4 linked regions of the Oreochromis niloticus genome follow. The protein of the gene in region 1 interacts with the protein of each later gene in a pairwise test. Links are inferred from orthologs where the notes say so. Each region holds a gene or a part of one and is shown in the gene's direction. Other genes may lie near its edges. The genes, in order: mid2, ccdc120b, leng1 and top3b.

Region 1 (8,368 bases):
TTCCCCTGTAATGTGTCACATTGTTAACATTGTTACTACGTTCTTTCTGCACTCTGCAACTGTAACATCTTCTGACGCATGAGAAATATGGATTTATTCATTGCAAATAGCTGATTGACTGCTTGAACCAAAGCATAACAAGCTGGATAAAGAAATCTTTAGTTGGGAGCTGAGTTCATAGTGTTTGTGTTAACACATTGTGTAACATACAATCCTATTAATATTTTAAATGAAAATGTACACATATAAAATACTGGCTCACTGGCAATCTGTGGATTTTATAGGCTCTTTAAAGGTTTTTATAACCATAAACAAAGACAGTCTTTGAAACTTTATCCGTGGTTTCTTTTTTCATAGTCTCTGGTTTTCCACTACATATCCAAGCACAGTTATTTCAAGTGTTATCACACGGCTACAATACCTTGACCTTCTGTTCATTATTCTATCTTATTATGGACAAAATATGTATTTTTATTTCATTAATTTTTAAGCATGGTGAATTTCTTATTTGAATAATGTATTTAAACACATTTTATCAGATTTTTATCAGACAGTTAGAGATGCACTGATGACCAAAGCTTTTGTCTTTTTCATTTCTTTTTATTTTCTTCTGCTAATCTACAGAGTAGCACAGCTGAGACATAACGGCTCAAGCAGACCTTGCAGAGTAAAAGCTCAGCCTGCAACCACCTGCAAGCTGACGTCTTGCTGTTTAGACCCTCATAATCCACTATGATTGCAGGATTTTATTTGTGGCTGCGCTGCAGTGTGAGAGAACCGAGGGGTCAGTGAGCTGAAAGACAGCAGCTGGCAGCTACTTACATTTATATGGATCCTTAAAATCCCAGACAGTTGCACAGCAAAACAGCCAAATCCTCAGAGCTCCTCAACAAAAGAAATGTTTTGTAAACTTTAAGTACATGCACTACTGCAGAGCAAAGATTTAGTCACTGGCATAGTTACATAATAAGCATTATGCAGTCCTTGGAAGTTCTTGTTGCTTTCTTCTCAGGGCATGCAGTACTGATTAGAAATGATAAATAATGTAGTTCATTTTGTTTTATTTTCAGCTAGTATTTAAAAAAAACTTAAAGCTATTAATTACAACTTCCCACATTTAAAAAAAATCATAGAAACATAATTATTTTTTGTAATACTCTTTGTTATCTTGTAACTAACAAAAGCTGTCTTTGAGTAGAGACTTTCATATGATTTGATTTCTTATGGTTGATTTTAGAGGTACAATACATAAAAAATATGAATATACAATATAGAAAATCAATACAGTCATCTCAGAGCCACTATTCTGTGACAACAAAGGTGCAGCCCCGATAAAATCTCGCCACTGGAGTTTCGTGTAGTTCAACATATAATCCAAAGAGAAGATAGCACTGACTGATTAAGATTTTTTTATCCGTGCACCTTTAAGCCTAGACCTCTAGCCATATTATCATTTCTGCTTCCACTTCCTTGTACATGGCTTGTGATGTCCTTGCCACCAGCATCATGTAGACACCTGTAGATTTGGTGCTCACAGGTCTATAGGCTTCTACATGATTAGTGAATATGTATCCTCTTAGTAGATCACCATGCAGGGTGGTTGTTGATGATCCCTGTGCTGTAGCAGTGTCCCCCGATGGCAGATTGCATACATCAGTTGCTTGTCTATGTGACACTTCTACTAAAACACCATCTTTACCTGCGAGGCACTACTTATTCCTCTCACATTTGACACAATGCAAACTAGACACCTGCAATGACTCACTATCACCTCTTGAGATATGACGGTATAACAAGACAGGACAGAGCCAAGGTTATCCTGTTAGTATGCTCACTTCAATAGATATCCCTGCAACACAACACACAGAAGCCTTTGACGTGATGTCAGAAGGGTTTCAAATTATGATGATTACATTGTTTATTTTTATGGAACATTTAAACATGGAAATCTTACTTGTTTTACCATTAAACCCATGTGTACTCCAGAAAAATTTAAAAGTGGGTCATTTGTTAGTGCCAAAACTTAATTAAGTATCCCATAGTGTCCCATCTGTACCCAGCCTCATTAATTATTACTTTTCCCCAGCCTCGGTTATCCCTTTTCAGTTAACTATTCATAAGCCCTGTAATGATTAACAATATGTTTTGGGTTAATCTCTTTGTAAGGGAAGAGATTTTTTTTAGAGCTAATGCAAAATTCTTCAGCTGAGTGTGTTATTAAATACTTTTATTGACCTCCACAGTTCAGAATTACTGAGGTCTGATGTTGTATTGACAGAATTTTTCTTTTTCATTTCAAACTGTGAAGCTCTAACGAAGGCCCAGACTCACCAACGAATCTCTCTACCTTTTTGTTGTATATTTTAGTATTTCTTTCTAACTCCTGAGGAAAATGATCAACAAAATCTCAGTGTTCATCAAATAAAAGCAGACCGTTTCAGTTCATGTAGCACTTATTGCTGAAGCTAATTTGTTGACCTTGTTATTTGCTTGGCTTTTAAGAAATTATAATGCAAACATACAAAAAAAGTATAAAAAACATAAAACAAAAGCACAGCAAGCAGTGAAATGACAGAAAATACTAAACCTGGAAACATACCAAGAGTGAATGAAAATGGATGGATGGATGGATGGATGGATGGATGGATGGATGGATGGATGATGGATGGATGACATTTTAGTGCATCTGCTGCTCAGTCATTGGTTGGTCTTTTCTCACATACTGTACTTACACACAGACATACTTAGCAAAGCTTCCCTGTCTAAATGTGCCATGTGTATTCTATCCATGGACATTAAACAGTGTTTTTCTCTTTTAACTTTGCAGAATTGGTTCTGTGTTCCTTTGACCAGTGATGGTAGTGTCGCACAGTCTGCCTCTGATCTTCATGCACATTTCAAACAAAAACGAAACAAAAAACAAAAAATGTCCACTTATAAAAGGATTAATCCAGAATGCTAACCATGACCACAAACCCCACAAGGTGGCTTTAAAGGCTGTTTTTTGTGCTCACAGGTGTAGGTTCATAAGTTCCAATGCACCCATTGTTAGTATCACAAAAGACATGCTGGCTCTGAACATATCAATGGAGGATTTGGGGCATTGTCAGTTTGGTTTTTATGTAGGATGAGATGAGTGTCCTTGCAAGAGAAATTGACAGACATCCTTCACTTTTAAATCCTGCCTTTTGTGACAATACAAAATGAGCCAACCACTGCAGTGTAAAGTGTAAGTTCTAATAAGACTGTTTTTGGGGCTGTGGGATGTTGGAACAGGAAAATAGCAAACTTATTTGTTTGAGCCAGATGACATTCGTCATAAAAGACCAAAGTGAAATGTGAAAGTTTGCCATTTCACACAAGCTATTCCTCATTTCGAGAAGGTTAAACTGATAAACGTACTTCTTTGACAGGTTTACTCATGTGGAAAATGTGTCACTTTGCAGACTGGGTGACACTGAAAGATAATAAAAAATTTATTTCTTGAAAAATAAAATCTATTTTATATGTGTGTGTAACAACTATGTTAAAGTCATCTATCACTGTGTACTAATACACCTTATACTTTCAGCTGGAATCTGTCTGTACAGCAATAGCATGTTCAGAAGCGAACAAACAGTCTTACAGGCCTGCATGCCAGCACAGATATCCACCTGCGAGCTTTGATATTCAGTCCAATGGACCAGCTGAGACCTGGAGTTACAGTTTATCAACCTAATCCATAAGCATATGTGTAAGGTGTGAGGGGTCCTGTGCACCCCTTTGCTTTTAAAACCTGTCTTACAACCACTCAGCAGACTGAGAGGGCCAGTGCTGGTTTTGCTTTTCGTGGGTGGAAGGTACAGAGAAACAAGGACTACCTATCAGTTTTCTCCTTAGGATGAAGTTGTCCTTCTCGTCTCTATTGAATACCGAGCTTGTCACAGAGGAACTAATTAACATGGCAACTTGTACGGCCGTGCAGTTCTTCCACCATTCAGTCTGTATCCCATTTGCATTTGAGAGCTGTTTGAAGGCAGTAATTCAGCAGAAAAATCCTTGTTTCTCTTCAGAACACCCACATTAGCTCACCTACAGAATTGGAAGCTCCTTTCAACTTCAGGCTCATGATGTACACATTTTAACGCTAGCACATTTTCTAGCTTTCTAAATGTTTATTTAGCTAAAAAAAAAAAAAAAAAAAAAACCCTCATCACTGAATCCCCATGCAAACATCATACTCTTCTGTCAGCTTCAAACATCTAACTAAAGCCTATGACTATCAAAATTTAATAATTCTTACAGTTATTACAGTTTGAGGACCAAAAGCTGAGAATTCATTTGCAATAAAAACCTCTGAAAATCAGTGTTATTAAAGCATGAGACTTAGAAATGAAAGATTTTATTTAAATTAAACACACACAAAAAAAATAGAATTCAGAAGAAGAAAAAAACAATCTACAAACTGGTGACAAAGGAATAACCCCTCGACCTTTATACCGAGAGGAATCGTTGGCTCTGGTGTGTTATAGAGCATTTTCTGGGTCCACGTGACCCCTAAGATTGAAGAATATATATATAAATCATGACAAATGATGGGAGTGGCGCCCACTAGGATGACAGTGCCCCCATCCATAAGACATGAGCGGTCGATAAATGGTGTGGTATAAAAATAATATGGAAATGTAAAATATGGCTGTTATCACCGCCTCTCAAACCAATTAACGCTAATGATGACTCTAACAACTCTTACACTTGGTTGTAAAAGTTGTTAAACTCTGATTGGTGCCTGGGAGTAGTGACATCATTACTGACTTAGATTACAAATTATGTATATGTCTGTATGAAAAGAAGGAAAACAGTCTGGATTGTGGAATAACCCCAAAGAGTTATCCTGACAAAATTATTGTTAATATCATTTTACACTGATTAATGGTACAACCTACATATGTGATTCTAATTTGTTCATTTTTATTAAGCAACATTTAAATATTTTTTATCTTAATAAATATAATTTATCTACACACATTTGAGTTACCATCTATAAGAAAACTTTCATATAATTATATCTGCTGTGGGAAATAAAGAATTGCCACCGCGATGTCAGCTAAACAGCAATTTAATGTCTTAATAACGGGCCAAGGAGACAGGTGTATTATATTAACAGATCCAAATTGCTAAGGTGAAGACAAATGACAGCGACACCGTGAGGTCACAGGGGATGGGAAAATGGTAGGAGGAGGAGTATGGGTGCGCACAGCTCGGGTTCTTTGAACGGGCACTAAAGCAGCGGTGTAACCGATCCCAGCTGCTACTGTGTGGGGAATTGAGAGCTATTCCCGTCCCCCGTACGTTGATCACGTGTCCTTAGGGGACGTTTGCTTTGGGGATCACTTTGGGAGGTAAAGGCAGCGCACCGGTGCGCGTATCCAATTTGGAGAGAAACATCCTTAATAATCGTAATGATCCACCGGAGGATCAACCGGATCACTTTTGTTTCGGGGCGTTGTCATACACCCTGTACAGTGGCTTGCTTTACACAGATCAGTAAGGAACTGGCACTCTTTGTGTGATCCGTGACTCACTGACTTGTCAAAACTTCTGCGCTTACGAGCCGCGATCTTTACTGCGAGCATCACATTGCTGCCATCTCCTGCAACGAGTCGACGTACGGAGCTGTCACTGCGAGCCGAGGTAGGCTGTGCTTCCTTTATGTGTGTTTTTTTTGGCGGAATAGCGAGAGTAACATGCACAAGAGGGCACACACTGGCTAGGAGCATGAGTTAGTTTGTGGAAGGCACACGCTGTGCAGTATTGTGGGTTCCAGGGTTGCAACAGTGTAATGATCCATGTCAAACGATACAGTAAGTGTATGACGAGCTCTTATCTGTGTACAGAAACATGCAGCATGAAGACGTGTGTAAATGTGTGCCTAATATTCTGCTTCGAAAAAGACGGTGAGAAAAAACAAAAACAAATGCGCTCTGGTACGTCTGTGGTGGGTCAGGGACTTAATACATGTGTTTAATGTTCACAGTGGCCTGCAAATTTATTCTCAAAAGTTTTTAAGAGTGCTAAAATTTCTGCACTCCTGTTGATGATGTTGCTGTTGAATATTCTGAATGAACTCTTACTTTTGGAGTGGATTATTTTAAAGACTGGTGAACATGCTTTAGCCTTTATGAACTCATCAGTTTAGCCATTGTGTACCACAACACCAGCCACAACATTAAAACCACTACTACAGCTGAAGCGTATGACACTCATCATCCAACTACAATGATGTGCTCTCCTGGGAAATCTTGGTTTCTGGCATTTATGTGGATGTTATTTTTGATATGTACCCACCTAAACATTGGAAAACAAGACATGTTTCATGACAATGGCGCTCCCAGATGGCAACAGCCTCCCCCAGTGGAACACTTGCACCCCACCACACCACAAAAACTGTTCAGGAACGATTCTAGGAATGCGACAGAGAGCTCGAGGTTTTGACCCGGCCTCCAAACTGCCAGATCCCAGTACAATAAAGCATTTACAGGATGCCCAGAACAAGCCTGCTTCTCTGAGACTCCACTCTGAAACCAGCAGGAGGCAAATGATCCACTTCTAATGTCCTGGTGCTTTTTCCACACATGCCCATGTCTCAATCAGTTGCAGCTGTTTTAGCAGCACAAGGGGGACTTGCACCACACTGGGCAGGTGGTTTTAAGTTTAAGGATGACTGATGTAGGAAAACAGGGACTAACCTGAGCTGACTCCCAGCCACGCCCTGCTGCTGTCAACCAAAGCAGCAGGAAGAGAGGCATTTTCTCATTTCCCCCCCAGAGAGATTAAAAGGAGATTTTTCAGAATACATATAAAAGTAGATTTTCTGAACAATCGCAGGAACACCAGTTGTCAAGTCTTAAATGCGTTTTAATTTTATGTAATGAAAATTCCATGTTATTAAATAAAAATGCCAAACTAGTCCAGTAGAAGGCACAAACCAATGTAGTCACCACAAACCTGCTAATAAATGTAATATGAATCCTGCAGAGTCCCTGTTGTGATATTAGATTGTCAGCCTGGTTATTGTGGAGACAGTGCTGCAGGTGACTGTAGAGGGACTCTGGCTTTGCCTTCAGAAAAGTGTAAAATGTCAGCTCCTTATCAATAATGCAGCACACCAAAAACAGTGGGGAGTAAGAAAATGGAACCCACTGTTAGAGACGGTTACCTAGTGCTTCATCATTATTCACATAATTGAATAACAAATACTTTATCAAAATCCACTTGGAGTAATTACCAGCAATGCAAATATTTCCATTCTAATCCTAATACACAACCAAAACAAACCCGTATGATGAGCTGTAATGTGCCATATCTTGTCATGCTGATCACCAGTGAAACAAATTTAATGTCTATTACAATTTTTTTTAAAAACGGTGGTTCACCATCTTATAAAAATGATTTATTTCCCTGCTCTCTTACTGCCTGTCTTGTTAATGCATGATCACTGTGGTTAATGAGACAGGTCTCAGTGCATGGGGACTGACAGTTTCAGAAACTGCACTGCTAGTTGGGTGAATACAACTGACACCCTCATTCATCATGCATCCACGGGGTGCTGCTTGCTCTCCTAGTCTATCCACGCTGCGCTTCTCTCCCCTTGTCTTAGTCGAGTCTCGAGTTGCACCCTCAGATGATAATTATTAAGACATTATACTGATGACAATAGCAGAGTTTTTTTTTCTGTAAAAGAGACAGGGAGTCAGCTTCTACGTGCTGGGATGATTATAACTGTGAAAGAGGGTTGGCGTTCGTTGTCGAGGTTGCAGCTGCAACGATTTCCAAGAATAGATGTAAATGCCAACTGTACAGTAGTGTACCTGTTTGACTCTGTTACTGGCAGCCAGTAGCTAATTGCGGACTAGCCAGAAAATCAAAAGCTGACTTGTCAAATATCGTTTTTTTTAAGAATCTGTGATATTACATTAGATAAATGAATATCAAGACGTTTTTTCCCCACACTTTTCTAACTAAATAAATGAAAACAAGTCTACATTCTTTTATGCTGTGCTTCATCAGTGGTTAAAATATGTTACCTGACCTGAAGCAATAATATAAAAGTACAATTATGAAAGCATTATTAATCTCGCTAATCCCGATGGCATGCCATGGTGCAATTTTAAAATGTAAGAGATGTAATTAACCCACATTTACCATAATTACTGAAGCCTTGACTAAACTTTGTAAGCTTGCATATTGCAGTATCTCTTAGATTTACTGTATTAAACTTTGATGCTCGGGAAAATCGAATGAAAATAGCGGATACGTGAATCCCAGTTTTGTGCACTTGTCTGCTGCAGCAGCTACAGCCCTTGAATGTTACTGTTCACAATCACTG
Region 2 (8,203 bases), on another chromosome or scaffold:
CAATTCCTTTCAGAGCTCCTGTCCTCCTCACCGTGTATTGGCTGATCATTAACGCCTGCCAAGAGTTTCTGACCCTCACTTGACCAGGAGCCACAGCTCTTTAATAAGCTCAAATGCAATCATGTATAAAAGATTAAAATCATTTTCATAACAAAGGTTCTTTCTTCTCAGATCTGCCAATATGTTTGCTCGTCTCCATTACAGTTTAATCATTGAAAATTACACTGATCAGCATACTATGTGGAAGTTACAGATTACATAATGGCAAAAGCATTCTGTCAGACCCCTCACCATCACCAGTCTGTGAATGTGTGTGTGAATGGGTGGATGACTGGATATGTAAAGCGCTTTGGGGTCCTTAGGGACTATTAAAGCGCTATATAAATACAGGCCATTTTACCATTTACCATCTTTATATACCACAGTGTTTAATAATTCAATACACAGGCTAAAAAAACCCCTTTAAAACAATAGACTGTAAATAAAAGATGGCACCAAATAGTTTTTAGCAAATTGAATTCTTAAATTTAGCTTCACAACCATCAATATCTTTGTTTGTTCTTATTTATTTTTTAAATTTCTTTTAGCCATAAGTGAGCATATTTGGACAAAAAGTTAGAGTGCTGAATTGTAGTTAGCCCCCGCAAGATGTGCTGGCATGGTGTATGAACTGTATGGATGTGTACAACAGACACAGCTAGCTGCTAAGTAGTACAAAGTAACAGTTTAATAATGTTAAATTATGTAAAATTCACCCACATACAGTTGTAATGAAAGCTAAAATTAGATATAGAGGGGTTTTTTTTGGGGGGGGGGTGTTATTTATTTAATTATTTAACCAGACTTTAACATTTGGGTGTTTTAACATGAGATTCTGTGGGATCTCGCTTGTTTTATGAGCCAGCCTCAAATAGCAACTTGAGGAACTACAATGTGCGGAGTTTCTTTGTGGGCTCCCCAGAGGCTGCTACCCGATACCTCACATAATCTCCATTAGCAGCGTCAGAGGTTTCCTGTAGCTGCAGACTTCTGCAAAGGATTCATTTCTGTCCACAGATGGTTTCAGTTTATTAATAATAAACTGTGTTGTTGGACTCTGACACAATTTGATGTGCAGGTGTGGGCTGGGTGTAGTTTAATATTTATAATTTTGCAGTGAGTTAAAGACTAAGGCGTCACTCTCATGAGACCAACTTTGTCAATACAGGAGCAGCAAAACAGATGGGATGCAGAGAGAGCACAAAGTGGCAGAGAAGCTACAAAGCAAGTTGTTGAAGAAGAGAAAGATGAGTTGCCCATGGTAAGTGTCCTGCTGAGGCTACCCCCGCCCCCCACAGGCAATCATATGCGTATGTATTTTTATTCGTTTGTTGTCTGCAGATTACACAGATCTTCAGTTTGGCTGATAACCCAGTTGGGACTGGTGCAGATGCAGAAAACCACCTCATGAAACTACTAGACTCTTTACGCTCCTCTGTACTGCCCATATTGTGGTATGCTATAATGGTGGAGGGCCCGCAGCTGCAGCTCATCCAGTGTTCTAAGCAGTCCAGCATGACCGACACCATGGTGCTAATCGACCCGGGCTTCTTCTATCAGGTCACCGTCCAAAAGCAACCGCTGCTCCCCACCCACCCGCTGTACGACTGCTACCCAGCACGTCTAACCTCGGTGACTGAGGTGGTTAATTTGCTTTTTGGGTCTGGAGAAGTACTCTGTGTGCCAGGGGGATGCCTCCCAAAGAACCATTACATTATAAAGACCCCATCATACTGGAACGGTCATCAACATGTGATTTCCTGGTTAAGAAGAATGTGGGCATTTGTAATAACTGCAGAGCACTTCAACTTTAACGTCATCACAGACAGAAATGGAAAATAAATGTGAGCAGAGTGGAGACCACTGGTTTTCTAGTGACACTTTGTGCAATTTTATTTTATTTTTTGGTGATGATGTATATCAAAACTTTACAGACTTACCTCTGGACTGTAAATGGTTTATTTTAAGAATCACCAAAGGCATTTCAGGAGTTGTGACATTATAATCCAGGCGTGTTTCTTCTCAGACGTTTTATTATGTAGGTGTAGGGCTTTTCTACTTGACTGTTATGTGTCTTGGCTTTGGCAGTGTGCTGAAGTCAGCCCTCTGTGTGGTTAGTGTGCTGTTGGTTGATTCACACTCTTACTTGAGGAATATCCCTCACCCTCCTTACCACTATTACACATTTTAGTAGCCCTTTCAGACAACTGTACTACTAGAAAATTAGCCCACGTGTTTGATTCCCAGCATTAACACTGTTGTCATGCTACCGGGTTCGTTCATACTATATACAACAAAGTTAATAGAAGATTTGTTTTGGTAAAAACAAGTGTGCACCTCAACTGCTTTCTTTTTTAATTTAATAATATATTCATTAGTGTCATCACTGTTGTCACTAACACTCCATTTATTAGCACTCCATTTATTTGCATTTTTGCATTTGCTCCCAGTGATGATACTAAGGCTGGAAAAATGTGAGGGAATTAGAAAGGGTACCCGGTGGCAAATCAGATGTGTTGATCCATCTGATGTGGTGACCACTTGGGAAATAAGGGAGCTGCCAAAGGTACCTTTCTATTAGAACTAGTTATTTAAATTGAATTATGTGATTATTTCAAATTCATGACCATTCATACTGGATTGTAATGATGACATGTTGATTCTGGGCTGAAATTACAAGCATTTTTTAAATATCTTAATCTGATTGCAAAGTAGACTATCATTTGATTAGCTCTCCCACTGAAGGCAGAATGTGCTCCTAGCATCAGCATGTGTGGTGTGATGAATTTCATACGACCTTTAAAAATGCATTGAAGTTGTCCCATGACAGGAAAAAAAGTACAATTACCTTTTGAGGTTTGTTCTCATAAATAACTAACTTTAATCTCAAAACTTTTTTTTTTTAAACAGCTGTTGGGTAGGTCAGCTTTTTTGTAAACCTAACCTACCCTCCTTTTTTGCTTTCATAGGGTGAGTTTTTGTTATCATATTGCATCAGAAATATCTGAAAAGTGGGAAATATATCATCACAAACTGACCTAGTATGGATATTATGCTAAATTTGTATTCACCCCATTACTATGACAGTCTAAAGTCATTTGAGCAGAACCCACAAGCTATAAGTAGGAGCAAGCCACTGTTTTAAAAAATATCCAAGACATCTGAGATAGTAGTGATTTTCCAGAACATACAGTGACATTACTGGTCAAATATTTAATTGAATATTCCCCAAATAAAGAGACAGTGTGGATGGTTATGCAAAGTAAGTATAAGTAACACTTAAAAAAAGGTACCTTTGTGTAATCCTATGTTGGGGTTGTTGTACTTGTAATTTCTCTCAATTTTAGCCCAATTTGATGTCTAGTGAGAATATTTCACACTATATCTACTGAAAACTTTATTCAATGACCCGGTATTTAGACTTGACACTAAAAACATTGTAACACCTTTTAAGATCTCAAACAAAACAAAAAAAACAGATGAAGATGAATGTAGTTAAACATTCCTCACAAATCTCAAGCTAAAACCCAGCGACAGGATTACAGTTGTTGTGACTGGCACCATGTTAGCTGAGAACAGTAAACTTTCCTTAAAGGTTTAGTTTCGGTTTTTCGAGGTTTTTATTGTTTTTAGAACAACATGCTCTTGTCAAAGTGATGATGTAGCAACAATCATCGTACAGATGACTCTGAAATAATAATATCTGAAATAATAATAAGCACTTAATGAGTCTTCTTCTGTCTCTGTTCTCGAGTAGTATAACACTTGGCCTTTAATTGTATTTTCAGCCATATAATGTGTTTTGTTTTTGTTTTTTAAGTGTATAATAATTCAGTTTTTACCCCCCATTACAAACAACCTCCTGCAAGTTTTAACAATGTGAAATTTTATGCATTCTTGATGTGATTTTTTTTTTAAATGTTGTTTTCCTCAAGTAATTGTGCATATGTTGAAATATTTGGGAACAGTGGGTTATTCCTTTAAAAAATATTGTTATTTAGTCTTTGAATTAAAACATATTTGAAGAACTGACACTGGTTTTCCTCATTTCTGGTCATTTTTGTCTTTGAGTATGTAATGTTTGGTGATAATGTTAGAATATTTTGTATTATTTTACAATTGATCAAATGTGTCCAAATCATCAACTGAGTAGAATTAATTGACTTAAACTTTATATGCAGTAACATCAATTTATGTGGTTGCTGTCTGCTAATTATTGAGTTTATGGTTGAGTCAGTGGAACACACAGCCTAAAGAAAACATATAGCCTATAAAGCTAAGCAAGTCTTAAACATACTTTGATCAGTTAATATAAATCAGACTCTAGAGAGAGTTGATATACATTTGACAAGAAGCAGACTTGACTGCAACAGTGTGATGTTCAGAGTTCAGCTGTGCCTTTAACAAGCAGTTATCACTTTGTCGGTTTTGTTGATCGTTCTCATGAGCGGTCAAAAGCTTTGCTATGAATTCTCTTTTCAAAAAAAGATGCTCCAGCTTGTCCTGTACTGAACAACATAATCAAGGAGGAATCAAAGTGCTGTACTTAGGAACTTTCTGACGTAAAACTGGCCCTTTAACCACAACTTTCAGTTTCTCCTCTATGATGTGTTGCCAGGGCTTTAGTGCAGCTGTTGTTTGAGAATCTCTCGCCTTTAACTTTGTCTTCAGAGAGTGAAATGTGTGCTTCAGTCGGTTGGTAACAGGTGTTTAACTTGCCCTCTTTAAAAAGTCCTTTTTTGTGTGGAGCCACTTTTTTCTCCCGTTATTTGGTGATGTGTTAAAAAATATTTTAATTTGTATAAAGCCGTTTCTGTATCGGATACACTTCTTAATACTTACAGTGAATTTTCTTAAAACATTTGAAGCCCTGAAATTAGTCCAATATTAATCCAATCCGAAACATTAAAAAGTCAGCACTTTAAATGAATTTGAATGCGTTTTTTTACACCAATATACATATACCAATACACGTTTATTACTATTGAAGTTATTGAATTAAGGATGGAAGAACGCAATTAACTTCCCATTAAAAAGCCATGTTGGGCTGCTATAATTTTGTATGGTGCGGTCCAATTTAACTCTGACATAGAAAGCAGTAAAACTAAAACGACTATTTTAGTTTTTTGAGTTGAACGTATCAGTTTTTAAATCTGGAAAAAGTCTCTTGGGGGTTTGGGGAGGGTTACCTTGCTGCACATGAATCCACGCTACTGTGCAACACCTGGGTCATATTCGTATTAGCGGATCGAGTGGCGCACATTGAAGGCATGTACCATCTGGGGAGGGGCATCGTCGCTGTGGTCGTGGTGGAGTCAGCTGGCTGTGTGAAAGAGAGCGTTTTCATGCCGTGCAGAAAGCAGGTCTGTTGAGATGCGCAGAGCTCCGACGCAGCGGAGGTCGCGAGGCTGCTGGTGAATTACAATTGGGATAGTGAAGCATCATGAACGGGCAGCTCTTTTCCGTGGATCTCCGCACATTTTGCCAATAAAAACAAGCAGGAATGATTTTCCTCCCCCTGCTTTCGCTCCAGAGAACCATGGAGACCTCGCAAGGCATCAGTCATGCTCTCTGGTAAGAGGGGATTCTGCTCCAAGATGTCCTTTTCCATCCTAAATGGGCGTATTAATTAATAGCTACCAGTACGGCTTTTAAAAATGATATATTTTCTCTATAAAATGAAATGCATCGGCCTAAACGCGAGTCCGCAAGACGTCCTCGCATCTGTTCACGCATTTAGCTCGTGTGAAAAGACGTTTGTCATCGTGGCGGGCTGTGACACACCTGCGATGTGTTATCGCTTCCATAATGAGTCCGGTGCGTTTCATTATCAGCCGGTGCGCCGCCGTCTGCAACGGCTATGCAGATGCGGGGATCAGCGCAGACTGGATGTGCGAACGCGTGCTTTATGTTGAGCCAAATCACATGTCCGTACGATGAATGCGAGGACCGCATCAAGTGAGAGCCTCGCGTTTGTGTACGCGTTGTGCCAGAAAACAGTGCAACGGGTCGTTTGTGTGGCACGCTCGTCAGGAGGCAGGGGGTGGCAGAACTGCAAGAACGTCTCAAATTCAATTTTTAAAGGAGTGAAAATGTGTGCCAAGCTTCCCGGGAATGCATAACTTCTCCCCTGTTGCTGCATTGTTATGAAGCAAAAAAACAGACCCGAACATCTTGTTACTGCCGTCTCCTGGGCCTTATTGCTTCTCTCCTCTCATTTATTAATACTGCTCGGTCACATGCAGCAGCGTTAAGCTCCTATTATTAACAGATCCCTGAGCGAGCCTGTCCGCCAGGATCCCTTTTGGTGGGGTGGGCTCGTAAAAATGTGTTGGTGCCTTTTACAGTGAGTCACTGTACTCCACCTTTTCGCGTTTCTGGGAAACACCTCTGTTTTTTACTAGAGGGTTTTCCTTTGAAGCCTTATGCTCATTGCTCCTATTTTATTTACAGTTGTTAGTGCAGGGAACACCAGGACATTTACAAGCAAAGGGGTTGGTGTGCTGGGAGACCATTCTCATGCTCAGTTTCCTCTTGATCACAGGGATTAGGATGAAACCAGTCATGTTAGTGTTTCTGTTCACCCGTACAGTACAAAGCACTCCCTTTGGCCTTTGTGTTTCAGTACAGTTCAGTCACATTCCATGGAAGTGGACTTTGACCCAGATAGCTTTGTCACAGTTGCATTTTTTTAATACTTACATTTTTTAACTGGTTGCATCAAGGTTACACTATTTTTTTCCTTCCTTTTAAATGATCCCCTTAAGACATGGGCTGACACAAATTTGAACATGTGGTTCTGTAGTTGGTGAATGACAAAACATGCAGGTAAAGTACAGTGTGAAAAGAAACACTGGCTGCTTGATCTGATTCTAGTCATTTCACTACTTCTTACTAGCACAAAGACATAGAGTTGCAATGAGAAACATTTAGCTTCATCTAAAGTATCTTGTTGCTAGAACCAGGGAATAAAGTCTGATCAAGCGACTGTAGTACTACAGATGGGGGAGCATATTCACCTACTTTTCTTCAAAACACAAAACAATCAGATCAAGGTCCTTTTGTGTGTAAATATTGAATGTAATGGCGTGGCTGCTGTGGCTGCACTTCATAAGTCTGAGCGAAACAAAAGCACTGAACTCTTTCCAGAATCAGCAAAGTGGATTACAGCAAGCCACAGAGCATAAAAACAGCTTTGGACATACAGAAATCCCTCCAGGTGTTACAGAGCAAAGGAAAAATGTATAGCAATAATCCCCTCGGACATTAGAGTCACATTCCTTTCTTTATTACTCCACCCTCCTCTCCTCCAACCTCAGCTTAGCGGAATCCAGGTGGATAGCAGTCACTGGGCTTTGCTTTGTTTTGCCTGTGGTAGTTGTGTCAAATGTAGAAAGGTGAGCATCAAGGCCCGGGGAGGGAGAGAGGACGAGCTATACGATTGGTCAGCCTTGGCTAAGCTGCCCTGCCTTGTGCTGATAAGTGCATTATAAATCAGTATTTCATGGATATAGAGAGCAAAACGAAGAGATCACATTGGTGCGCGGGGTTGGTTGGAGGGTCACCTGACCCCTGCATAAGCCCTCCATCCACAGTTGTAGGGGTTGCCCAGGTGGAGGCAGCTCTGAATCAGCCGTATGTCTGACCTTGTCCAATCTCTTGTTCGTTGAATCATAAATTACATCTTCCTCCTTCTTACATTTCTACTCCCATCCTCACCAGCAAATCTCACCAATGGCTCTACAGTGTCCTTGGGGTCTGATAGTCAATGTTTGGGAGTTGCATTACTGTTCTCCTATAGATTAGATCAGTATGGCTTTAGACATGGAGAAATGCTGTCCTGGTACACCAGTGAAAGCAGTGAGGTACTACTTTGTAACAACTGACACAGACAGTGGTGCAAACTGTAGTTTTTAACTGTCTGCTGCCTATTAACTTCTCAGGAACCAGCGTGGGATCCTCATGCTAGCCTAACAGGAGCTGTGTAGTCGTAACCCTCCTCTGGTTCACATGTGTAAGTTGACAACAGCAGCAGCTGTGTCAACACCAGCGGTCAACATGAGGGCCGCTGGCCTCACCTGCCCATAGCTAGCTGGAGGTGAGGTTTCAGCTGCTCCTTTATACCACAGCTGCCTGTTGAAAGAGACCAATAAACCTGCTGTGC
Region 3 (7,995 bases), on another chromosome or scaffold:
ATCAACTCTGTTTTCCAGTCGCTCCAGGAAGCCACGGTTTTTACTAAGCTGGACCTGCGGAATGCCTATCATCTGGTTCGAATACGAGAAGGTGACGAATGGAAAACCGCATTCAATACTCCATTAGGGCACTTTGAATATTTAGTGATGCCGTTTGGTTTAACTAACGCCCCGGCGGTTTTCCAAGCCCTGGTCAATGACGTGTTACGGGATTTCCTGAACGTGTTTGTTTTTGTGTATCTGGATGATATCCTGGTTTTTTCCAAAACGCTTGAGGAGCATCACGTCCATGTGAGGAGCGTACTACAGCGGCTGCTCGAGAACAGACTGTATGTCAAGGCAGAGAAGTGTGAGTTCCACACTGCATCCATTTCCTTCTTGGGCTACGTCCTAGCAGGTGGGCAGGTGAAGACCGACCCAGTGAAGGTCAAGGCGGTCCTAGAGTGGCCGGTCCCGGAGTCACGGAAGAAGCTCCAAAGCTTTCTCGGGTTTGCGAACTTTTATCGCCGCTTCATCCGGAATTACAGCCAAGTGGCCACGCCTCTCACCCAGCTCACCTCATCTAAGGTACCTTTCACCTGGTCTCCAGAGGCCCACGCGGCCTTCGTTAAGTTAAAGCACTTATTCACATCCGCACCTATTCTAACCCATCCCGACTCCTCTAAACAGTTTATCGTTGAGGTTGACGCGTCTGATGCTGGAGTTGGAGCAGTTCTCTCCCAGCGATCCGGGCCTCAAAACAAACTCCGGCCGTGCGCCTACTTCTCGCGCCGACTCACCCCCACGGAGAAGAACTACGACATCGGCGACAGGGAACTCTTGGCTATTAAACTCGCCTTAGAAGAATGGCGCCACTGGCTGGAGGGGGCTAAACAGCCCTTCCTCATATGGACAGATCATAAGAATCTAACGTACCTGAGAACTGCCAAGAGATTAAATCCACGCCAAGCCCGCTGGTCTCTGTTCTTCGCTCGCTTTAACTTCACTCTCTCCTATCGTCCAGGGTCACGGAACATCAAGCCCGATGCGCTCTCCCGTCTATATACCTCCGACGATGAAGCGTTCTCTCCCGCCACCGTCCTACCCGCCGCCTGCGTGGTGGGCACTCTCACCTGGGAAATCGAGGAGACCATTCGCCGAGCTCTCCCGGAGGACCCTGATCCAGGTACCGGTCCACTTGGGCGGCGCTTCGTTCCCGCTGCCGCCCGTGGGGCGGTCATCCACTGGATCCATACCGCACGATTCACGTGCCACCCAGGCGTGAGTAGAACGATACACCTCCTCAGAAGACACTTCTGGTGGAAGTCACTAATAAGGGACGTGAGAGCTTACGTGTCTGCTTGTGCCGTCTGCGCTCGTAATAAATCTTCCACCAAGCACCCCGTAGGTCAGCTCCACCCGCTCACTACACCCCACCGGCCATGGTCTCACATCTCCCTAGACTTTGTTACCGGTCTCCCTACCTCCTCCGGGAAATGTGTAGTCCTCACCGTTGTGGATAGATTTTCTAAGGCCGCTCATTTCATCCCGCTGACAAAGCTGCCTTCGGCCGCGGAGACAGCCCAAACATTAATCACTGATGTTTTCAGACTCCACGGAATCCCCCTTGAAATCGTCTCCGATCGGGGGCCCCAGTTCTCCTCACAAGTGTGGAAGACCTTCTGCTCCATTCTAGGCGCTAGGGTCAATCTGAGCTCCGGTTTCCACCCGCAGTCCAACGGACAGACCGAACGTCTAAACCAGGAGCTGGAGACTATGCTAAGGTGTGTAGCCAGTCAAAATCCCTCCTCTTGGGCCACTTACCTGCCTTGGGTGGAGTACGCCCATAACACTCTCACCTCGTCCTCCACCGGGTTATCCCCATTCGAAGCGTCCCTCGGTTATCAGCCTCCGCTCTTTCCAGAAGAGGAACTAGCCCTCTCCGTCCCGTCAGCTCCACATCACCTCCGGCGCTGTCAACGGGTGTGGCGCAGCGTGCGCCGGGCCCTCCTGCGCGCGAAGGAACGGCACGCGCACTATGCCGATCGCCGCCGTGCCCCGGCCCCTGAATATCGTCCGGGACAAAAGGTCTGGTTGGCAGCTGGAAACATCCCGCTTCGGGGCTCGTCTCGAAAACTGGCACCCCGCTTTATTGGACCGTACGAGGTGGACCGAGTCATCAACCCGGTGGCAGTCAGGCTCCGACTTCCGGCCTCTTGGCGGGTGCATCCCACGTTCCATGTCTCTCAGATTAAACCGGTCCGCCGCAGTCCTCTGTGCCCGCCTCCCGAGCCCCCTCCTCCCGCACGGCTCGTCGGCGGCCATCCTGCCTATGCGGTCCGACGGATCCTGGATGCGCGCCGGCGCGGACGGGGTTGGCAGTATCTCGTGGACTGGGAGGGGTACGGCCCGAGGACCGCCTCTGGGTCCCGCGCTCCTTCATTCTGGATCCCCGTCTCATCTCTGCCTTCCATGCTTCTCTCCGCAGGCAGCAGTCCGGCCGGCCGCCTGGGGGCGACCCTTGAGGGGGGGTACTGTCATGGTCCGCGGCCCGGCGTCCGAGGAGCTGATGCGATGCTCACGCCCACGGGCGTGGCTGTTAACTCTACACCTGCATCTCATCCCAGGCGATTATCAGGTGGACTACTTGATCCAGCCCAGCCTGCTGCTCCACGCCAGTCCGTAATCGTCTCACAGCGGTAACGTATGCCTACAGGGAAGCGATTGTGAAAACCCTCATTTGTCTGCATGAGCGCTGATTTCTCCCTGTGCACTCAGATAACTGCTCGGCGTGTTTTTGAGCCACCTGCCTGTCCACCTGCCCGCCTGGAGTTTTTTGATCACCTTCAGTATCCCTCACTTTGCCTTCCCTGGAGCTCCCCGCGGACCTTCACCCCTCCCTCCGGCTCTCACGGCCCCGCTTTGACTGTAAGACTCAAACTCTCCCTCACGTGTGCCGCTTTTCCCCGCATCCCAGTAATTCTTCTCTTTTTCTGTTGCAGCCTCCCTCAGTCCCGTTTTCGGCGTTCCTGCGCGACTCTTCTCCCGGTGCCTTGGTTTCTCTAGTTTCACGTGTGTTTTCCTTAACCCTCCCGGGACACCTTTAGTTAGAATAAAGTTTATTTTCTCGTACTCCTGCGTGTGTGTTGGCTCTGCTTCTGGGTTCAGCTTGTGCACTGAACTTCGGTTCATGACAATCACGGTTTTAAGTCACGGATCGGATCAATTTTCGGATCAGCAAAAATAGAAAAAAAAAAAAAAAAGACAAAAATTCGACTCGCCATTTACTTATTTAAGTATTTTTTGCCTATTAAAAAACATTCAGCTGAAGACTCATTCCACGCACTTATATAAAAACAACTTAAGGTGCAATATGGACATTATGGACCATGCTGAGCATCCTCTGCATCCTCTGCACACGGCCATAAACAACCAGAGGAGTCTGTTCAGTGAGAGGTTGCTTCTCCCAGAGTCAATGACCAGCAGATTTAAAAAGTCCTTTGTCCCACACGCCATCAAACTGTCTAACTCCTGGCTGGAGGGGAGCAACAGTTTTTGTTAATATCCAACGGTGTAATAGACTCACGATACTTGAAATGTGCCGTTCCCTTGTATTCTTATTCCTATTTATTCTATTTATCCCTTTTGTATTCTCTGTATTTATATATGTCTTTGTATTTATATGTGTGTATATATGGTATATTTCTGCTCACATTCTGCAACTTCTGTCGGTGCTGTGCAACTGGAAACTGAATTTCCCGGAGGAACCGACCCGAGGGATAAATAAAGTTTCATCTAATCTAGTGTACTACCACTCCGCTGTGATATAACGAGCGGTCACGGTCACGTGACTTTCCGTTGCCCTGGAGGTCCACCCATTTGTAGTTAGAGCAACAGAAGATCCCTGAGACAGTTCAGCCATAACTTTAAACTTCTCCTGCTCATACATGCTTGGAACGATCTTGTCACTGAAGTGGACGCGCAACGGGATATCATAGCGTGGCTCAAGCACGTTCATCACAGTTTAAACCCCTTGTTTTGCACAACGGAATACGGCCTCCCGTCTGCAGCTAAACACCCCAGTAGCTTTTGCAATAGCTTTAGCCCGGTCGGATTGGGCAGCAAAGGGCTGCTTAAATGCCGCAAACTCCTCTGCTCCGCCACTTGGACCGCTAGCGCTGGCCATAACTACCGCTTGACAGACTGACCACGCGCACCATACACATATTTATTTTTTTCTTTTTCGAATCTTCGGATCACGTGCGTGCCGAACCGTGGCGTGGGATCGGTTCGGATTTCAGATCAACCGTGATCCGTTGCACCACTAGTCATTAGGCTTCACTTTTAAACAGTAAGTTAAATGGTTTCCTGATTCTCACATGGACTTGGTTTACAGGAGAGCAAACAGTTCCTGATCAAGCAGACTGAGAGCCCGAGTCGGCAAGCTCACATACCGACACATCATGCAGGAGTACAAGACTGAACACGACATATGGGCAAGGATTTACTGTCTTGAAAACAACATAATAAGACTTGTTTTTATGTTTATAATTTAATGCAGGCTAGGTTTTACCACACACGTCTGCACGAAGATAATTGTATTAAAAGTTGTGATTTTTTTTTAAAGGAATACATAAAGAAGGAGAATTAAAACTTGATCGTTATTAGAGTATAGCATTTCCACTATGTAAATAGATTAGTGCCTTTTATGTCTGTCCTTCAAAGCAGATATTTTTTTCTTTACATAATAAAATAAAATGAGAAACATAACAGCCCCCTCTGCTGTCGCCATTGTGTTATTGCTTCAACATGGAGCTACTGTTTACTTCCTGTTTGGGTCTGCCTGTTCCTATGAGCTCCTGCTACCTGTCCAACAAGAGAAATTCTTCACTCAGCAAGTTGGTGACAACGCCTGGGCCCTGTTTTAGAAAGTAAAATGTTAAAAACATTGCTAAATTTGTGGAAATGTGATATCTCTGCGTGGTGCTGAGTCCTTAAGGTAAAGTAGAGGTGGAAAGTAGAAAACATCGGCTAACATTAGCTCGTTAGCTCTGCCTCTCGGGAGGTCAAAGCTGCAAATATAAAGTTTGTTTTTGTATATTTATATACGTTTCCGCTTTGGGACATTGACGCACTTAGTTCCACAACTAGCGGTTTTACTTTGGGGAACTTATTCACGTTTTCCTTCCACTTTTGCCGCTGCTAGCCGACTGCTAACCTACAGTAGTAACAGTCGCCAAGGGAACAATGAACATCCTTCCGAAGAAGAGCTGGCATGTCCGCAACAAAGACAACGTCGCTCGAGTGCGGAGGGACGAGGCCCAGGCAGCAGAGGAGGAGCGCGAGGCCAAGCGTCGCGTGGAGCGCGCGGAGCAAGAGGTGACTCCGGATGGATGACCGTGGCGTGCTGTTACTGTACCCTACCTGGTGCTCTGTTTCCCCTTGTAGTCTGAGCAGGATACCTCAAATTTAAACCAGATATGATCAGAAGCAAGGTTACTAACTTGAACAACTTAAAAAAACGTACTCATTTATAATAACAGTGTGCAGTAAATGTCCTTTTTCAGTAGAGCCTACCTGAGACGCTCTTAGTCCAACCCTAGTTACAAAAAAGTTAGAATACTGTGTAAAGTGTAGCTTTTTAAGTCAAGTAAACCTAAACCTAAATGTACCTTGAAGCACTGATGGTACCTTTCCAGATGTGCAAGCTTCCAGTTCCATAGGCACTAATGCACAAGTTGTACCTTGAGAAACAGTTTTCTACTGTGCGTCAGTCCATTTTGAATAGGCTTTGGCCCAGAGAAGGCAGCGTTTTTACTGCACTGCTGCCTGTGATGCCAAAAATCACAGGCATCTAGTATTGGTATTCAAAGTCTTTGTAATTTTACATTGAATAGCTTTATGCTGAAATTGGTACACAACTTGTAGACACAGTTTTTGCATACCCAATAATGTTACTGAGCGGTTGGCAGTTAATTTTGCAAAAATTACTGCAAAATATTCCTCTAGCTGTTTCCTTTTAGTTAAGCTTACTTTTCCAGCCTTTTGTTACCACTGTCCCAACTTTTTGAGATTTGTTGCTGCCAACAAAATCACTTAAAACATTGGTTATGTTTTCAGTTGTGATTAAGAATTTCATAATACAAATTAATGCATTCTCTTTTTAATTTACATTTTATACAATAAATAAATATCTAGAATATTAAAGCTTTTTTATAGCGGGATGCAAAAATAAATATATTAAAAAGGCAGACTTTTTTTTTTAAATCAAATGTATTACAGAAAAGTTACCCCAAAAAGTAATGTCAGTACTGTACATTAAAGTAAAGTAAAGTAAAGTAAAGTAAAGGACAGGAAACGTGAGATGACATTGAAGTAGCTCAGTATCACAGGGTGTAAAATGTAGCGGGCCGGAATAAAATGTTATCATGCGAGAACAGATTGTTCTTTGCTACACTTATGTATTGCATTGCAGAGATTATTAGGGTTTTACTGTATTTAAAGAAGCTTTGAGCCCATCAGTGAAGGTTTTTTGTCATCCACTGTGACTAAAAAATATTTTTAACCATTTCATTTAACTTACTAAAGCTTAAAATACATTTTTGTTGATCAAATAGACAAGATGTATTGGAAAACATATAGAACTTTGATACGTAACGTAACCCAGATGTCCAGAACCCCTTAAAAGGCCCACACTGATACAGGAAACACCCTGTTTTTATGAAACAACAGAGTGAAAGCAGACTAAATATTAGCAACCACTTATGCATTATGATAGGTAGAGTATATGAGCATCAGATACTGTCCTTGTTGACTGCTGATTAGCATTGTTACTCTGATGTGTCAGCTAACTTTTGTGCTGACTTAATGTTCAAACAGTGTAGTGATCTTTTCTTTATTTCACCTGCAAAAAAAGGTGGATAGTTAATGGTAAAAATATGTAATATACTAATTACAAAAAAACAAAACAAGTTGTTATTATAAACATCAGTTTTGGTCCAGAGTTTTGCAGTCACTGCATCCCTAATAGATCTCTCACTAGAATCCAGAACAAAATCACTTCAAACCAAAGCTGTATTCAAAGCAACTTAAGATTGGTTTGATAAACATTACAATTTCTAACCTTCTTGATGAGAACATTTATTACAGGACTTCAAAAATACCATGGAAAGATGCCCACAGAATAAACCTTGAGATAGTGTTTATCAGTATTGCAGAGTAAAAATTCGTGAGTGTGTTGTATTGTGATATCATACAGCCCCAATCTAGTACATCTATAAACTTCCTCACCGATACATAAAGCATAAAGCTCACATGTGGCACTAAAATGACTGTAAATGGTGTTTTTGGTTGCAATCATCCTTGAAAGTCACACTGTGTACTCGACACTGTGTAAATATTTAATCACTGAACAGGTTTATTTGTGTGAAATACTGCATTACTAATGTGCAAGAGCTGTTCAAATTGCAGTTCTGATGGTATAATTTCACATAATTTCAGATCTTTGAATTACTCAGTGTTTTTTCAGTGCACGCCTATCCTTTACAATTGTAAAAAACAACACATTTACTGTTGTATGATGTCTTTTGTTAATATTTAAAAAAAAACCCCACACACCTGGAAATCAATGCTAACATTTCCTATGTGTTACTATTCAGACTGCTGTAAATGTGCTGTACGTCTCTAAATTGGCACCAGTAGAAAACTTAAGTATTTATGATTTGAGCTTAGTTTATTCTTATGAAGGTTAAATAAGCTTTGCTGTGCCCATGAATGTCCTTTAATTGTTGTTTGTTTACAGGCACGTACAGAGTATCTGAGAAGGAAAGCCCGAGCTGCTCTTCAGTCAACAGGAGGAAGCAGAGATGATGGTGATGAGGAACAGGGTGGAGGAAGTGGAGCTCTGGAGCATCTCAATCTTTTCCCCCTGGAGGAGTCCTCGGAGAAGAAGGGGAATGAGGAGTATCTCAGAGAAAAGAAAGAAGAAAAGGTGTCCGTGCTGCTGCTTCTGTCAGT
Region 4 (7,847 bases), on another chromosome or scaffold:
TTCAATTCTGCTCGGACACTCCGCCGGTCCCGGACACTCCTTCTCCTCCTCGGCTCCGGATTCTGAGCGCGGCAGGATGGAGCTGCGGCGCGTGCGCACCCTCGCGGCTCTGTCCCGGTACGGAGAGTGTTGGGCGCGAGCTCTGGAGTACCTGGACGCGAGCTGCAGGGACTTGACGTCGGAGAGCCAGAGCCTGATCGCGCTGCGGTTCACCCACTGTCACCTGAGCAGCTCAGGCAGGGATTTCCCAGCATGCCCTGAGGGGTCAGAGGTCAGCAGGTGTACAGCTGGCATGGACACAGTGGCGTTTAACAGCTACACAGAGTTCTTCACACAAATGCAATTGTTCATTGCATTTGTCATAAATTGTTCAGATGAAGTGAAACATAAGACAGAGAAAATCAAAATAATAGTGAAAGGGGCAGAGAGGTTCTTTGGTATTAAAGACATATCGTGGGAGAACATTAATAAAAGACTTAGAGGGGAAGGGACAGTGGAAGGATCAGGGGAGAGGACAATATGATTATTTTACAGTGGAATGCTAGAAGTTTGATTGCAAACGGTCAAGAGTTTAAAGGATTTATTGAAAAATGCAAAAAGAAACCAGATATAATCTGTGTACAGGAGCCATGGCTGAAGCCCAATTTGGATTTTGTTATCAAAGGATATGTTGGGGTTTGGAGGGATAGGAAGGATGGTAATGGAGGAGGTTGTGTGACAATTACAGAGAATAGAGACTTATTGGATATGGTGGAGGATATGGATGATCTGGTGAATATGCCTTTTACTAAGTCAGAGTTACATTGAGTGCTCCGGAAATATAAGTTATCAGAGCCAGGGAAAGATCGGGTGTGCTACATTGTGATAAACCATCTTAGTGAGTCAGCAAAAGAGCAGTTAGTGGAGTTGTATAATAGGGTTTGGGAAGGTGGGAAGCTGCCACAAAGTTGGAAAGAGGCTGTGGTGGTGCCTATACACTGAAAAAAGAGCATGTTAGATTTATTTAATTCAATAGTGGACATTGGTTGCACACAGATGTTTTGCTTTGGCAGAAACTTAAACAACGGAGTTAAATCAATTAAACCAGAATACCCAGAGAGAAACCACTGCAAACTAGCCAGATTGCAGATTTGAGCCTAGGACCTTCTTGCTGTGAGGCAACGGCACTAACCACCACGCCACAAACCCAATGATTTGGATGCCTGATGCAGAATTTTTTGTACGTTTTTGTCCTTGACAGGTTAAACCACAATAAATAGCGATAGCATACACGTGGTGTGTGTGTAGTTGTCTGCCTCTTATAACTCCAATGATTTTCCTGCAGTTTGAAATCTCATGTGATCATGTGAATTTCATAAGTCCACCAGCTAAGCACTCTTACTAGATTGTATCATGTCATCTCAACGAGAACACATTAAGTTGTTGAATTTCATACAGATCCTACATAATTTAATTACGTTCACCATAGAAACATGAAATTATTTTGATCAAATTACAAGTTAGACTTTTGTAAATGTAACAACCACCCAATTTCCTTTTTTTCGGTATACCGAAAAAAGTAGAGGCGGTGGCTCGACTTGACTGAGATGGATGCCTTCCTCAAACCACGATCCAAAATGCGCGAGACGAAATCACGTGCGGTGTCACGAGATTTAACATTGCTATATTATTGACTTACTTCACTTGAACGTGATATGAACAATTTAATATACCCTCTCTGCATATCATGTAGTTTCTACACTATATAATTACACTTAACTTTAAAGCACGAGGCAATTGTGTTAAATACACGCAAGATGCTTACATAAGTCCAAGAGATGGCCAGTCCGTTTTTTTCAGTGTACGTAAGCCAGGGAGGAATGGTACCAAGCCAGGTAATTATAGAGTGATAGCTTTAACATCACATATTTGTAAAGTTATGGAGAGAATGACAAATGAGAGATTAATATATTATGTAGAAAGTAGAGGGTTTATATCTAAATATCAAAGTGGATTTAAAAGAGGGAGAAGTACTATGGATCCAGTATTGTGTTTGGAGCATGAAATTAGGAGGGCTCAAATAAATAAAGAGTGTGTGGTGGCAGTGTTTTTCAATATAGAGAAAGCTTATGATATGATGTGGAAAGAAGGTTTGTTGATTAAAATCCGTAAATTGGGTATTAGGGGTGGATGTATAGGTGGATTTTGGATTTTTAAAAGGGTAGGCAAATACAAGTGAGAATTGGAAAGAATTATTCAGAGAGATTTTCTGTAGAGAACAGGACTCCTCAGGGGAGCATAGTGAGTCCTTTGGTATTTTCTCTAATGATTAATGATTTGTTTAATGACATAGAGGGTGGGGTGGGATGTTCACGTTTTGCTGATGACGGAGCCTTATGGAGAAGAGGGAGGAATGTAGGTTTTATTGTAAAGAAGTTGCAGGAAGCAGTTGGTAAAGTTGAATAATGGTCGTATAAGTGGGGATTCAAATTTTCAGTTGATAAGACTAAGACTGTTTTTTTGTTTGTTTTTTTTACAAAGAAAAGGGTTAGTGAGGAAGTTAAGCTGAAGCTAGATGGCGTAGAATTAGAAAGAGTGAGGAAGTTTAAATTTCTGGATTTGTGAGAAGGTAACCTGGGGTGCACGCATTCAGGAATTGGTGGGTAAGTGTAAAAAAGTTTTGAATATTTTGAGGTGTTTGTTTGGGAAGGATTGGGGAGCGGATATAGAATCCTTGAGGGCCATATACACTGGGTTGGTGAGGTCAGTGTTAGATTATGGTTGTGTGGCATATAATTCGGCAGCAGACACTACTCTTGGGAAGTTAGATTTTATTCAGTATCAGGTGTTGAGACTTTGTACAGGGGCATTTAAAACAACTCCTACTGTAGCCTTGCAGGTGGAGATGGGGGAAATGCCACTAGGGTTGAGGAGGGGACAGCTTAGATTGACTTATTGGGCAAACTTACAGGGTCAGGGGAAGGATCACCATACACTAAAAGTACTTAAACCTTGCTGGGAGAAAGGCAGGAGGGAATTAAAGAGCTTTGGATGGGTGGTGGGGGGAAGAGCTAGAGAACTTAAATTGGATCAGTTTGACATATGTCAGCGAGTGCCGTGGCGTGCAATCCCTCCATGGATACTTCCTGAAGCAGCTGTGGATTTTGCATTATTGCACCAGAAGAGTAAGGATAGGGCAGGCGGTCTAGACTCAAATTCAGTTCAGGGTTACATTGAACAGTATTTTGGGTATGTTCAAGTATATACGGATGCTTCAAAGAATCCAGCTAGTCAAGTGGGGGTAGCAGTAGTAATTCTGGACTTTATGGTAGAAATTAAGAGGATTAATGATGGATTGTGTTACATCCTGTGAGTGTGTGGGCGTGGTGTTGTTCTCTCCCTCCATTTCTTGGTTTGGCCTGTCGGGTTCATTGCTAATAGCAGTGTTGCTGTCTTTTTCTGTTAAATCCTTATAGTTGTTTTCTTAGTTGAAGCGGTCACCATCTCTTTGGGTTGGCCTGTCTAATTTATCATCAAAGCAGCGTTGCTGTCTCTTTCTGTTGTTACTGTTTATATGATTATTGGGTTAATTAATTATAATAAAGATTTATTTTGTGTTAAACACCTCTGCCTGGCGTCCTTTTCATTTCAACCCGGATCCAACTGTTATTGTCCCCCACCCTCTTCGCCTAGCTTTCATGTGGGGACGTAACAGATTGTCTGTGTTTACAGGAGAAATCATAGCAATTCTATTAGCGGTTCACAGGGTGGAAGAGTTGAGGCCATTGAAAGCAATTATTTGTTCAGATTCAAGAGCAGTCTTGGTCAGTCTACAGAGTGGTCATTCGGAAGGTAGATCAGATATTTTTAATAGAGATTCAGCAAACTCTTTTCAGAATACATATGATGGGTCTGTCAGTAGTGTTTGTATGGGTCCCGGCTCACTATGGCGTAAGGGGGAATGAAGCAGCAGATAGGTTAGCAAAGGAAACCACTAATTGATCTGGCGGTGAGTTTTGGTCTGGTGGAAATGAGGGGTAGATGGCAGAAACAGTGGGAAGAAGAAAGGAGGGGAAGGTGGTTATATAAAATTCAAAGGGGGTGGGAGTAAGGAGTGCCACAGGAAAGAGTAGGCGAGAGGAGGTGGTGGTGTCAAGACTGAAATTTGGACATACAGGATTGAATTCTACACTGTTCTTGATAGGGAAACATATTTCAGGGAAATGTGGAGAGGAGGAAACTTTGGAGCATGTTATTTTGCAGTGTCAGAAGTATAAGGTAGAGAGGAGACAACTGGTCCAAAGTCTCAGTAACATTAACATGAAATTGGATCTTATTAAGTTATTGCAAAAGGAGTCGGGGAATAAATGTGATCAGGCTTTGTCTCAGTTTTTGAGAGAAGGAAGATTGTTTGGAAGTATATGAAGTAGGTTTTTTTTTTTTTGAGCGTGATTCCTGTCCACACTCCATGCCAGTGGTGGCGGTAATGCACCATGCAGTTGTTTGCCAACCGCTACTTAAAAGAAGAAGAAGAAGAAGGAGAAGAAGAAGGAGAAGAAAAGGCCATGACGTGCACCGGAAGTAGATCTCGTATCGTAGAAGGCGCCATGGCCACTGTAGTAGTTTCTCACATAGCCTATTAACCGGTGAGAAGCGGAGCACAGGTCAGTGTCTCCTTTTGATAAAATTGGGACAGGAAGCGACAGCTGAGGGAACCTGCTCATCATGAGAAGTGTGCTGATGGTAGCGGAGAAGCCGTCCTTGGCTCAGGCCATTGCCAAAATCCTTTCTAAAGGTGGGTACAGAGTAAAAGCTGTGTCGATCAGTACGCAGTGAAAGTATGGTGGAGCCGAAATGAAATTGAATAGCTTTGATCAGCTGACCTTTTGGCGGTTGATTGGTTTTTGTTTTGGTTTGTTGTTTGTTTGTTTGTTTGTTTTTATTAGAAAATTAAGATTTCTTCGATCTGGGCAGTCAGCATATATAAGCCTAGCTGGGCTTCTAGTCTTAATTAGAATGATCCAAATGATGATCCCAGGGTTGGACTTGTTAGTTTGTTTCCTGTGTTTGCCTGTACTGCTAAATGACATATTATGTACAATAGTTAAAGCAGTACTGGTTTTTAGACACTCTTGTACTGGATCTTGAATTAAACAGGAAAGTGTTGTGATAACTGTCAAAACACTACACATGGGCACAGAATTGACACCGTATAATGTAAAGTGTCTCAGATTGCTTTAATGAGCTGTTAACAGGTGTGTAATAAGTGATAACCTTTTTAGTGTCTTCTGGAAAACAAGCACAATGAGTGAAATGGGCTATTTCTCAGTAATACCGATGTGAAGACTATAATTTGTCTAAACAGTGGATGTTGGTGAAGTTCTCCAGTGGCCTAAGTTGACCATAGCATGCTCTCTTGTGTTCAGCTGTGTCTGGAGATGGCACATATACATGCCACAGTGATGAGCTCAAACTCCAGAGAGTAGCTGGCTGAGGGGAAGCAGCTGGGGTTCTTCTTGAGGACTGGCATCCTCAGGGATACAGGGATGGTCTCTAAACCAAATTCACTCTCAAGTCCCCTGCAGGAGTGGCCGGTGTGGCAGCTGGCCTCATGGATGACCTGAGGCACCCGGTTCAAGTCAATGTTTTCCCTGGTGAGAGATAAAGAGTAGGCCTATGAATCTGGATTTAGGCTTATCTGGATTTTCTGTACTATGAAGGTGGTTCACTTCTTACTGAGGTAATTCACCATGGTAACTTATGCTGTGAACTAGGGGTGCAACGATACACAAAATTCACGGTTCGGTTCGGTTCGATACTTTGGTGTCACGGTTCGATATTTTTTCGATACAAAAAAATGTTCATGCCTTTTTAATTTGTCATTTATTAAAATTATAAATATATATTTTAACTCAAAAGTATAGTTTTTAAATGTAATGTTGCTGAAACAACAAAATAATAATAATAAAAAAAAATCTATCTGATCCAGAAATCACTCATCTTTGGAAAAGAGAGTTTATTACAGAGAAATGGCTCTTTCCAAAATAAAAGCTATACTATACGCTTCTTCTGGGGTACATTCTCAGCAGCATATTAAACATATCAGGTCCCCATAAGGAGAATCACGTGCTAACGGCTGTCTAAATGACTCGGGTAAAGTTTGTAGCATGCGTGCTTGTTGTTTTTGTCTGCTTCCACTTGTCTTTGCACTAGGATGATGTCGGCGTAAATGTGCAGTCATATTCGTTGTGTTCTCACTAGTGCTGTCAGCGTTAATCTCGTTAAAATGACATTAATGCCATAACGCCGCAAATCTCCGTTAACGAGTTACTGCGGATTGCCCCGTGTGTGGGGCTGGACGGCATCAACACGTTAACGAGCTAACTGTGCTAACGCACTAGTTCCCACCAATGTAATTGAGCATTGCGTGGCACATCCGACATACTGTTTTACTTTTGTCCATGACGCGCTTACCATCAGGGTCATGCTTCACATGGAAACCAAAATAGTTCCAAACGCCAGATCTGAAAGAGGGTGGGGGTGGTTCAATTTCGGGTAGCGTTGAGGCAGTTGCCATGTTGCAACGAGCTTAACTTCTGTCTCGCTAGCTTGCAATGCGCTCAGTGGATCTCCGCTCAACAGTGCAGCCTAGGCGGAGTAGTCGAACGCAGATCCACTGAGCTCTCAATACAGACAGCATCGTCAGAAGAAAAGTTGATAAAATAAATTAAAAATTTTGTATTGTTCGATACATATGCGTACCGAACCGAAAGCACTGTATCGAACGGTTCAATACCAACACGAGTATTGTTGCACCCCTACTGTGAACTTAACCTGCTCTGGAGCAGGTTAAATTCCAGATTAGAAATCACCACCTACTGGCCAATCAGTTCTTCAGAAAATAGCATCAGCATCCCTGGAAGAGTAGGAAGGTGTTAAGTTTTTTAACATTGTCTAATGTCTTTGTTTCCCCATTGAGCATCAGTAACTCAGACTCACAGGCATACGCATACCACAGCTGTTCTGCAAATATTTGTTTTTTTCATTTGTTATTCTTGAGTTTAGACATTTAAAATACGTAATTCCACTCTTCTAGTGATTTAAGGAATAGCAGACTTCATTATTCATTCAGAAATTTTCTGATGCTAATTTTTCTTTTGTCATTAATCAGCTTTTTTCTGTGAGCCAGTAAGCTTTATTGTTTAAGTGGATTGAGTTTAAAGATCTAATTTATAGGGCTGCAGCTATTGGATATTTTAGTAATAGAGTAATCTATCGATTATTCCATCAATGAATCAGATAAGAATAACTTTGGTTTGTTATTAATGAGCATTAATAAATATTCAAAAGAGAAGAAAAACACAGTTCTTTAAGAATGAACTACTCATTGGTTTCCATTCCATTGCAGTGTTTAAAGGTTTAACTGTACAACAACATCTCTAAATTGAAATCTTATTTTTTTTTTTTTTTTTTAAGAAAGCATTATCTTAAATGCAAAAATACATAAATAATCTCAAGTACAGACAAAGGTCAAAGTCAAATAAAATAAGATATACAATTGAAACTAAGGCATAAAAAATTTACCTTTAGTCTGTCTTCTTGGAATAGGAGGCAAGTTTTTGTGCTGCTGAAAACAGATGTTATGGTGGTGTAGACATTATTATTAATATCAATTACTGTCCAACCTAACAACCTTCAGCTCATGGCTCAGAGTTTAATGGCTCATTGGCTTGTGAAAAGTGTGGAGTTAAAAAAAAATATTTTTTATTGTAAAAATTAAAATATTTGATTAATACAATATTTTGTATTATTTCACTTTCGATCTGAAAAATGTTACGAAGGCCTCAAATCAATATGATGTAGTACAC

What was found.
Region 2: the proteins of mid2 (region 1) and ccdc120b interact in binary tests that used the Homo sapiens proteins (3 or more experiments, as listed by UniProt). The link is inferred for Oreochromis niloticus from reciprocal best matches to the Homo sapiens genes MID2 and CCDC120.
Region 3: the proteins of mid2 (region 1) and leng1 interact in binary tests that used the Homo sapiens proteins (3 or more experiments, as listed by UniProt). The two-hybrid records come from large-scale screens. The link is inferred for Oreochromis niloticus from reciprocal best matches to the Homo sapiens genes MID2 and LENG1.
Region 4: the proteins of mid2 (region 1) and top3b interact in binary tests that used the Homo sapiens proteins (3 or more experiments, as listed by UniProt). The two-hybrid records come from large-scale screens. The link is inferred for Oreochromis niloticus from reciprocal best matches to the Homo sapiens genes MID2 and TOP3B.

Annotation. Positions count from the first base shown.
Region 1 is NC_031966.2:21,470,436-21,478,803, reverse strand, and holds the start of mid2 (probable E3 ubiquitin-protein ligase MID2), read left to right. Parts: upstream 1-5,209; 5' UTR 5,210-5,673; intron 5,674-8,368. UniProt on the Homo sapiens protein: E3 ubiquitin ligase that plays a role in microtubule stabilization. Mediates the 'Lys-48'-linked polyubiquitination of LRRK2 to drive its localization to microtubules and its proteasomal degradation in neurons.
Region 2 is NC_031970.2:31,353,346-31,361,548, forward strand, and holds the start of ccdc120b (coiled-coil domain-containing protein 120), read left to right. Parts: upstream 1-5,090; 5' UTR 5,091-5,613; intron 5,614-8,203. UniProt on the Homo sapiens protein: Centriolar protein required for centriole subdistal appendage assembly and microtubule anchoring in interphase cells. Together with CCDC68, cooperate with subdistal appendage components ODF2, NIN and CEP170 for hierarchical subdistal appendage assembly.
Region 3 is NC_031976.2:22,042,172-22,050,166, reverse strand, and holds the start of leng1 (leukocyte receptor cluster member 1), read left to right. Parts: upstream 1-4,760; 5' UTR 4,761-4,877; exon of another isoform or gene 4,878-4,978; intron 4,979-5,185; 5' UTR 5,186-5,226; coding exon 5,227-5,358; intron 5,359-7,780; coding exon 7,781-7,969; intron 7,970-7,995.
Region 4 is NC_031977.2:3,672,885-3,680,731, forward strand, and holds the start of top3b (DNA topoisomerase 3-beta-1), read left to right. Parts: upstream 1-4,519; 5' UTR 4,520-4,704; coding exon 4,705-4,774; intron 4,775-7,847. UniProt on the Homo sapiens protein: Releases the supercoiling and torsional tension of DNA introduced during the DNA replication and transcription by transiently cleaving and rejoining one strand of the DNA duplex.